Bombyx mori: one gene and its partner. The protein of the gene in region 1 binds, or shares a complex with, the protein of each later gene. Links are inferred from orthologs where the notes say so. Each region holds a gene or a part of one and is shown on either strand. Other genes may lie near its edges.

Region 1 (4,146 bases):
TTTCGCTAGGCAATCATTTGAGGCACAAATTACTGGATATCTCAATAAAAACTGCAACTTTATAACAAATGTATATCAGTGTATATTATTACATTTAAATAGTATAAAAATATATATTTGTGAAGATCTATTGCTTTTTTATTTTGTCATTTTTTTTAATTCAATTATGTCACACTTTATCTCAGTATATATATAAATAGACATAATATTATTATACAGGTTGTTTGAAATCGCTCCTGAAATATTAATTCCATTTTAGGAATTTATTTACTCATTTACATTTGGTCTGTTATAATAAAATCAAGTGACTCATGGGACCTACAATGTTGAGTGAGGAACATAATCATAATTTGCTTGTTTACATTTAGGTACATTACTGGGACATTAATTCATATTTTTTTAAACAAGAAGTATTTAGTATTATGTTAGTTTTTCCATAACATTCATAGCTCTTTGTTTTTTATTGCTCTACTTAGGTAGTTCACAGTACACTTTCACTTTAGATTAGCTATTTATTCTCGTTTCGGCTTCGGAAACGATCTGTTAACAACCCTTTATTATTGGCATATTCTTTAACTTTTAAAACATTTGTAAATAACTCTTATGTTTTAACAAGATTCATTATATTACTCAACATTGCAATAATAAAATCTAAATAGCCTATTAAAACCATGTCTATATTTGAACTTTATTTTTTTTTTAGTTAAATTACCATCTTGTACTACTACACAACACAAATGTCAGAATCCATCACATTATAATAAAATACATACCCAAAAATCTTCAAACCATGTACAAATTATTGCTTCATTTTTCATTATAAATATGATTATGATACCAACTCATAGGTTCTCAAAACCCTCTCTACCACAGCTACTCAAAACTAGAATTAATTAAGTAGGAAATTTGTTCTGTAAATTTTACATTGCAGTACCAAGCCCGTGATGCTTTCCTCGATTGGCTAAGCAGGTCTCATAAAGTTTAATGTTAAAAACCTTTATATGAATATAATTATTGTAGTTTAACAAATTGTAACTTCAACATTTATAAATACAAAACATTATTTCTGTTAAAAGTTTCATATCTCTTTCATGATAAATAAAATGACCAGAGGTCAATCGGTTTGTTAATTGACGCTCCTTAAGTCAATATAATTGATATAACAAGCAAAGTCTAATAAGGCTTCCAAAACTAGTTGGCAACATTCTAATATTTTATGCATGAGCTTTGCAGATAAAAGTTGATAAAAATGTTTGTTAAAAGTGAATATATTATATAACATTATAAATATAATTTGCGAATAATAAAATACCGTACCTAAACGTGATATCCATTTCAGCATTTACTTAGCATCTCATTTAGATATTGATATAAAATAATCAAGAAATAAAATATTAAGGAGGGGGCAGGTCCAGAGTTTTCCTTACGATTTCTTCGGCTATTTTATTAAATTGTTCTCTGTCTTCTCTCCACATTTTGGCAGCATCGACATTGGCTCCACTTTCGTCGTTGGGTTCTGAAATATGTTATTATTGAACAAATTCAGCTTCTGTCTACATTAATGATACAATAATTTATTTAGGGGTAAAAAATATATATTGCTGTTTTGGAATTCAAATTGTAAATTTTAAAACCCACCTGCTAACATGCTGACAACAGAGAGCAGTATTTTTTCGACACTTTGTACAGGTGACCATCTTTCAGCACTGGTTTCGTAGCCCATTGGATCATCACCTGGTGCATGTAAGATTGATATGCATACCCGACCATCAGCATATACTGTAAATTGAATAAATTTAATTAATTTCATGTTTTTTAAAGTTTATAATCTTAGTAGGCTGACGGCATTTTCCATTTTTCTGATGATGCGTGGTCATCGTCGTTTGCGGCAGCAATAATAAGGAGTGCCAACACACTACTTGAGACAGAAAATACTTCACACCTCATACACATGATACATTTCGCGAAACATCATAATATAGAGAATAGACATTCGTACTAGAGCCTGTCACACAAATGAACAATGAAGACCTACAGTGGACCAGTGGGTGGTTTATGGCCTTTTTTTCTTTCTTTTTTTCTCCTACCTATGCTGATAGCCTTCAGTGTGCAGTAAAAATTAACCCAATTTTGAATGCAGTTGGAACAGCGCCCCTAGCGGAAAACGTAGGCAAACGATCCCATTGCATGCAAATATGAGCTAACTTTTACGCTATTGAGAACGTTAATAAACTAGAACTAAGCACACAGAGGCTATTTCAGTTTCGCCATAACGTATGGGTGAGCTCACAGGGTTCAAACCGGTGTGATGCTAGCACTGGCCCTAGCAAGGACCGTGCTTCGCAGAATCTACCACCAGATCGGAAACGCGACCCGCTGAGAAGATCCGGCGAGAAACTCAGTGGGCTGCGTCTATGGGTTTATGGCTATAACTCTTCCCCAGTGATCTTTCGAGCAATGAATTATGCAATTAAAAATGAGATCGCAGAATATATAAATTCTTCTCAGTAAAGATGCAGAAACATACAGTACATTTCTAGAGAACAAAAGTTTTTCCATAGGGCCATGTAGCTCGTCATGAGTAAGACTATGAGTACCTACCTACCTACTTAATGATTGTTGTTATGTTAACATTGAATTTTGTCAAAAACATATTTTACTAACCTTATTTAAAAAAAACATACTAGGTAATAGGATTTTAACTAAGACAATTATCTCAAAAAATATTGTTTATTGATAATGAAACCATTTGCCTTTCAATTTATTCCGAAAGATGGTAAGTTTTTGTCAGTTGCTCTCTTAATTGTAAAAAAGTAATCCAATTTTAATACCAAATTTAACTTTATATTTATGAAAAAGAGCAATGTAATCATTTCATTTTTGAACTGCAAATACATTTTCATGCCATCAGATGTGCATTGTCATTGCAATTAAATACAAGGTTGTTTATAGGTTATCAAATACATATTATTTTAATTTAATAGTTTTATTTTTGTTATTGAAACATAGTTGCAATATTGCAATTTTATTAATTGATAACATGTGACCTCCTTAATAAAAATAAACAATGTTATCAATATATTTATGCATATAATGATGAAATGACTTTTAAATAATAATTTTAAAGCTGTTTTTTTAAACATCTAATTATATTCTTTATAAATATTTGAATAAGTATGTACATAGGTAGTATTTATAATTTTCTTGGACATGTTATTCCATACCATGAGTTCTAGAGAAGTTAGTATTAAAATTAGCTTTACTTTCAATTCTTGATACAGAAACACCATTTTAGACCGTATATTACTGAGCATTAAAAAACAATAAAAAAAGTGTACAGGTATGTCTGCCTCAAACTACTTGATAGAAACTAGAACAGTAACAAAATCTTGGGATGATTTTGGTGCTTTGAGAAATATATTCTGGATAAATTTTCTGTTCAATTTAAAATGTCAATCCTTCAACCAACTTATCTTCACTGGTCATAATTTATAGTCACTTGCCTAATATACTTTCACTAGAATGCAAGTCACTTAAAGAATCATGGAGTGTGCTATGCTTATAAAATCAATTTAAGACCACATTATAGTTGTGACAATTCAGATACTGAAATTTTGAGATTAGCGAGTCCAGATAGCAAAAACCTTGTCAAACTTGTCTCAGAGGATGTTACAGAGGGCAGGTCATTCATACTATGCAGAAGACCTTACATTGCAGAGGAATAAATAAATATATAACTGGGAATATATCACGAACAGTCATCTGGCCCAAAATTAGGATTCCCCATGGTATGGGTACCAGAAATTGACATAAATACTTAGGTACATTTAAATATATACATATATAGATAATAACCACCCAGAAAAAGAACAAACAAACCTCTCCATCACACGAATGTTTGCCCGATGTGGGAATCAAACCCACAACCCTTGGTGCAACAGTAAGGACTGCTAACTACCGCACCAGTGAGTCAAAGTCAAATTTGATCAGTTATTATTATATGAATTACTTATATTCTGGATTATGGAATACTTTATTAGTCATTTTAATAATGTACGCAAGCATTACAAATGTCCAAATATTTCTTTATTCTTTGAGCAAGGTATAACCTATTATAACAAAAAACCCAAAGGCTTTTTTTTGCCT
Region 2 (5,503 bases), on another chromosome or scaffold:
CAATAATAAAGCGCAAATTGAGAATCTGAATATTTTTGGAGCTGCTTTTTTCAACGTGAGTATAACAACATTGTAAGTCTTGAAGAAACCTAGGTATCTTAGCACTCCAAACCAGACGAGCAGATTTCCTGTACCTAAAAACAGTGAACAAACATTCCACTGATCATTTGTGAATTGATTTCGTTCGATTTGTTCCTTAATAGCTGATCCCATGATGATCAGAAGGTCATTGATTATTATCATAATATACCAAATATTCAAGAACTCCAATCTTCCATCTAAGCTTAGGTCTCTGTCATATTGTCTTCTAAAGAATTGTACTGTTAATTCTTTTAGCAACTGTGCTCTGTAGAGTGCTCTGCTGCATAGCACAAACGAGGCTGCACAAATCAAAATAACTAAAATATTTAAAGTACTCCTGAGTATTTGGTCAATTTTATTATCCGTCACATAAGCTGTGTCGCCTTTACATTCTAGCTTGTGAGGTTCTGCTTCCAGAAACAAGGACATTTGTCCATCGTGATCTTCATTGTCAAATATTATTTCAACATCAAACCGGTAACAGTCTGGTGGAGTTATGGGACCGGCAGCCCTGAAGTTGATGGTTTTGATGGAAAACATTAATTTTGCTCTAACTAATGATGAGAAACTGATGTTCAATCCAGCATCTCTAATGTACGCTTCAGATTTGAAATCTTCATTATCTTTAATTGTGAAATTTATACAGGTCTCAAAGACTTCAGAGTTAAACTGGTAGCTCTCATTAAAGCCATAAATAATGCCTTGTTTATAGTTGTACTGGCAAAAGACAGGATCTGGCATAAAGTTATTTTCATCATTGTACGAATATGGGCCTATCGCATTAGATAAATTAGTATAACCGGCAACTGCATAGTCTAATGTATTGTAGAACTCATCGATTTTGTACAAAGCAAGTGGTCCTGCTCCCGGTGGATATGCGTTTATCTCACGTGTAGAGTCCCAGCCGAGTAAAAATAGATGCGAGAATGTGATTCTGTTATCCCATGTATAGTTCACGTGATTGTATCTGTTATGAGCGAATAAACATAGCTGAAAAGTCACAAGTACAATTTTGATTACCTGCACGACAAATTTGTAAGGAAATTTTCTCTTTGCTTTCCATTTCTCGATTGGATTCATAAAGAAAAACTGCAGTTTTCTACGCATTTTTTCTTCCATTTGAGTAGGCGGAGAGAACGAAGTCGATTGGTGAGGAAAATCTTGTTCATTGTTGGCATTCGGTCGAATTTCCTTTTTGTGATCGTCTTCGCCTTCAGAACAGGTAGTATCATCAGGGGCATGCATGATTTCATCCATGGATATAACTTCTAATATAATTTTCTAAAAAGACAAGGTCAATTTGTCACGAACGTTCGAACTTGTTTTTTTTACTATAATTAGAGTTTGAAACGCTACATGGAACTTAAGATTCGAATAATAGTAAAAATGAATTCGATTAATAATTAAAATAATGTTTCTGTTGTTCTTTGTTTACTTTCAAGGATTGAGTCCTCGATTTAAAATTGTCACTTGCACATTATACCAGAATGTCACGTGTTTTTTATTTATTAAATTGAATAAGCAAATGGTACCACGCAATAACTATTCTGTTATAAAAGGCGAAGTTGTTTTAGTTCCACAATAAGTAAAACTTAACAAAATTCACTGAAATAGAAATATAATGAAATGGGATGAACAAACTTCTCAGTTAAATGATGGGGTTCTCTTCTATCTATCAATATAAAAACATCGGCTTCTTGCGAGTTTAAGTGATAATCAGGTATTACTTTGCCGCTTTGTGAAGTAAACATTATAATAAAGTGAAATTAATTGAAGCTCATCAACAGGGTAAAAAAAAAATTGTTTCTTATCAATCGCAAAATATTGTATGTTATGTGTATGTATTAAAATATCGTAATTGTTGAGACTTCGGTAGATTTTTGGGAAGAACCCAGGAATCCCAGTCCAGTACTTTGTTCATGTACTCACCTTCACCTTCATGGACACTAAACGGTTTTTATATGTTTAAACTTGAATAAGCACAGAATTAACTAAACAAAACAATTCACAAAACTTCTGTATTCACTTTCATTCCAAAAACACTATTGCGGAGTAATTTCTACAGTAATATCACTTCCTTTTTCACCCAAACGGTTCGGTTTAATTTTGACAATTTTAAAAGACAGAACTGTATGGAATTATTTCCCTTTGTGTAACTAAATAAAACAAACCAACGGAATAATTTATGTTTGCCAAATGTCGAACGAAGAACACATCATTGCCTGTATGTATTACCTACTGTGATCATAAATTCATCGAGAATTTTATAAAAAATATATGGCAGACAGCGTAAATATTCAACAAAACATCTATCTACATATTCGGTGATGGCTCTTGCGGCAGAAAAGTTAATCAACAAAGAGAGGTACAATAATAATTTTAACAATATTTATTGTTACGTGATTTAGTTCGGGGAAAGTTGATGCCCACTCGACCCTATAAAATAAAACGTATAAAAATTACACATTTTCACATCTTAATTTTTTACAGTCTGATTGCAAATACATAAACAATTTCACAGCATTTCATTGAATAATGTATGTAAATAAACAATGTAATTGAGTATAAAAACAATATTTAGTCTATGAAAAATCTAATCACGAAATTATGTTGTTGCTTCAAATTCATAAACTTGAAAATCACTGCGACATTGAGACTTTAATTACAAATTCTTATACTTGAAAATCACTACGACATTGAGACTTTAATTACATGAAAAGTAAAAGTAGTATTTATTTTATTTACAAATATTACAAGACTAGATAACTATCATGGGATCTGGTATTTTAATTTCCTTGTAATTCAAAGTAAATATTTTTAAATCTCCACTCTACCTTTAGTACCCTAGATCTGCTGCTTTTTGGGTCTATTAGTTTTTTGATTTTACAGCTTCAATATGTATGTTAATGTGTAGGCTAAAATGTGAATGTTTTTCAAATACAAGTTATGGACATGGCAACAGATTAAGTAGGTACATTGAACAGTATTCATAATTAAAACCTTGAAAGATTCTCAGTCTCTCAGTCTCAGTTGTTTGAACTGTGAATTGGGAAAAAACAAATATTAAATCATATTTTCAACATTATCTAAACATAAAATAAATATAAATTTTCATTGAGTGATTAACTAATTGTATATGTAAATCTCTAGTTTCAGAGACATTGTTTTAAAGCACTTGACCTTACAATTGTGTTTCAAATACAATAGTATTGAGAAATCTATAATAAGTTTATAACATGCAATGAGGAAAGTCCTTGGGGACAAGTTTAAGGAAATTAAAATCTTAATTAAACTTAACCATACCAATATGAAAATTTTATGTGCCTTTTTTTATTGCCTTTGTAGAAAGACAATACAGCCCACCTGATGGTGAGTAGATGCCATTGCCTTTAGACTTCAACAATGCCAGGGGCAAAGCCAAACCGCTGCCTACATTGACAGATTGGGTTAGATTAGAACATCTAGCAAAGGCTAGTATCTGAAATCAAGAGAACAAGTAACTTTTTTATGTGTGCACATTTTCAATTAAATCCCAGAAATTAATGACTACTTCTTCAAAGATTTAACAAAATTTTTATAGAATGATTGTCAATAAGAGATTTTTACTAGATGGGTTTGTTTGGAAGTGAAGTTCTCTGTTACTCATCTGTTCTCTGTTACTACATTACTCATCATTTCCGCTCACCCCCCCTTTTCATTTACTATGTATTGTCATTCTGTTTATATTTCTTTTTTGTATTTTTATTGTCTTAGTAGGTAGATAAGCCCATCTGGTGGTGAGTGCTTACTACCACTCATGAACGTTAACAATGCCAGGGACATAGGAAAATCACACCCACTGAGTTTTTTTTGTCATATTTTAGTTTTCAGTAATATAGGTATCTTGCAACCAGTGGTAGAGGTTTGATTTTCAAATGTTCTGAATGAATGTCCAATATGATGATTTTTTAAATTTAGTACTGATATAGAATAGAATAGAATAGAATAGAATAGAATAGAATAGAAGATATATAAACTATAATGGTTATTGTTTTTGTTGCTTTTCAGATTCAATGGAGAAAATGCATTGCAATTTTTACTGTATTTACCAATTGGAGTTATTCTGATGGTGATCAGAATATTCCTGGGTGTGATATTATGGATTGCATCAATTATATTGCCCAACAAATGGGCAGTCAGTCACATGTTAACTACTTTGGCTTGTTGGACTTTTGGTAAGATTTTGAAAATTGATAAATGTGTTTAATGCCTGAGGATGATATGTGTTATTTGTCTGAATGAAAAGTGGGACATCCTGAATTTTTTTGTTGCCATGATGGGTGAACATTTGTGCGGTTCCCCATTGACATTACAACATATTATGGTATAACAGATAATTTAAAAGATCTATGGGAGGAGCTGGTTGGAACCACATATTTAATTACTACATTTTACTAAACTCAATTTCATACAAAAAATCAGTAGGGGTACCATATTTTCCTAAGTAACTTTCTCTGTTTGTCGATTGATTGTTAGTGCTAGGGTGGCAGCACTGATTTCAAACTACTGCACCATTCTATCTCTGCCACAAAGTAATCATCTAATAGGATTTGAAGTATTAGTAGTATTTAATGCTCACTACTAGTCACTATCATACAATACACACACTATGTCACACCTTATAATAGTTTTACTTTGGATTGCTTCATATCCTATCACTTGCATGCCTTAGTTAAACTTTCTAAGGTTTGTTTTTTGCTGGTGTATTATTGTTGTATTGCCTTCCCAGCTTCACTAAGGTTTTGGAATATAGTTGGACCTTCAAGAATGTTTCTCTGTTTCGATCTTTAAAATAAAATAAAATGTCATCTGAATTTATCAATTAAATTTAATGCTTTGAAAATATATATGTTTCAGGTGTCTATGTGAAGCTCAAAGGACAAAGAGACCCAAGATGTAGTGTGTTGGTTGCTAACTATGTGACATGTTTCGATTCTCTTGCAGCTGCACATGTCTTTGGTACCATAAGTGTCAGTATTAAATTATTACTTTTGATTCTAATTACACAATCAACTTAAATAATAATTTATTGCATAGACAGGTTAATGAGCTCAATTCCCACCCAGAGTTAAGCGGTAACTGGAACAGTCCATCTGTCATCTTGGGAAATGGAAGTGATATTTATCATATAACAGCTGTTCAAACCTTCCTCACCGTGATGCTGATAAAACTATATGCACTTTATTACAGAATTTCCTTTGATTACCTACATTGTGGATGATAAAATGTTATCTGTCTATGGAATACTAATACAGTTGTATCACCCGATACAAGTTCTCTAGGCATCTTGTATTCTAAGCCACAGCTTCAGTATTTTTAATTCGCCATCATATAAAATTCTACATTTGCATTTGTGCAGCGAAGTATATTATAGAGTTGGTTA

The links. The genes of interacting proteins can lie anywhere in the genome.
Region 2: the proteins of ubiquitin-conjugating enzyme E2 G2 (region 1) and lipid droplet-regulating VLDL assembly factor AUP1 are in contact, whole or in part, in a crystal structure (PDB 7LEW), measured with the Homo sapiens proteins. The link is inferred for Bombyx mori from reciprocal best matches to the Homo sapiens genes UBE2G2 and AUP1. Residues at the interface, in NP_003334.2 of Homo sapiens: Tyr13, Thr17, Pro20, Gly23, Ile24, Val25, Ala26, Gly27, Pro28, Met29, Asn30, Glu31, Glu38, Leu40, Met42, Glu45, Glu50, Phe51, Val53, Pro55, Lys156, Val159, Gln160, Ser162, Leu163, Leu165; in NP_853553.1 of Homo sapiens: Ser379, Arg382, Gln383, Leu386, Arg389, Lys390, Leu393, Tyr394, Tyr396, Ala397, Arg398, Arg400, Phe401, Thr402.

The regions. Positions count from the first base shown.
Region 1 is NC_085107.1:15,238,779-15,242,924, reverse strand, and holds part of ubiquitin-conjugating enzyme E2 G2, read right to left. Parts: intron 1,780-4,146; coding exon 1,639-1,779; intron 1,517-1,638; coding exon 1,395-1,516; 3' UTR 1-1,394. UniProt on the Homo sapiens protein: Accepts ubiquitin from the E1 complex and catalyzes its covalent attachment to other proteins. In vitro catalyzes 'Lys-48'-linked polyubiquitination. Involved in endoplasmic reticulum-associated degradation (ERAD).
Region 2 is NC_085117.1:18,441,016-18,446,518, reverse strand, and holds the start of lipid droplet-regulating VLDL assembly factor AUP1, read left to right. Parts: upstream 1-2,265; 5' UTR 2,266-2,408; coding exon 2,409-2,446; intron 2,447-4,128; coding exon 4,129-4,295; intron 4,296-4,977; coding exon 4,978-5,090; intron 5,091-5,503. Other genes in the region: mucolipin-3, read right to left, coding at 1-1,338. UniProt on the Homo sapiens protein: Plays a role in the translocation of terminally misfolded proteins from the endoplasmic reticulum lumen to the cytoplasm and their degradation by the proteasome. Plays a role in lipid droplet formation. Induces lipid droplet clustering.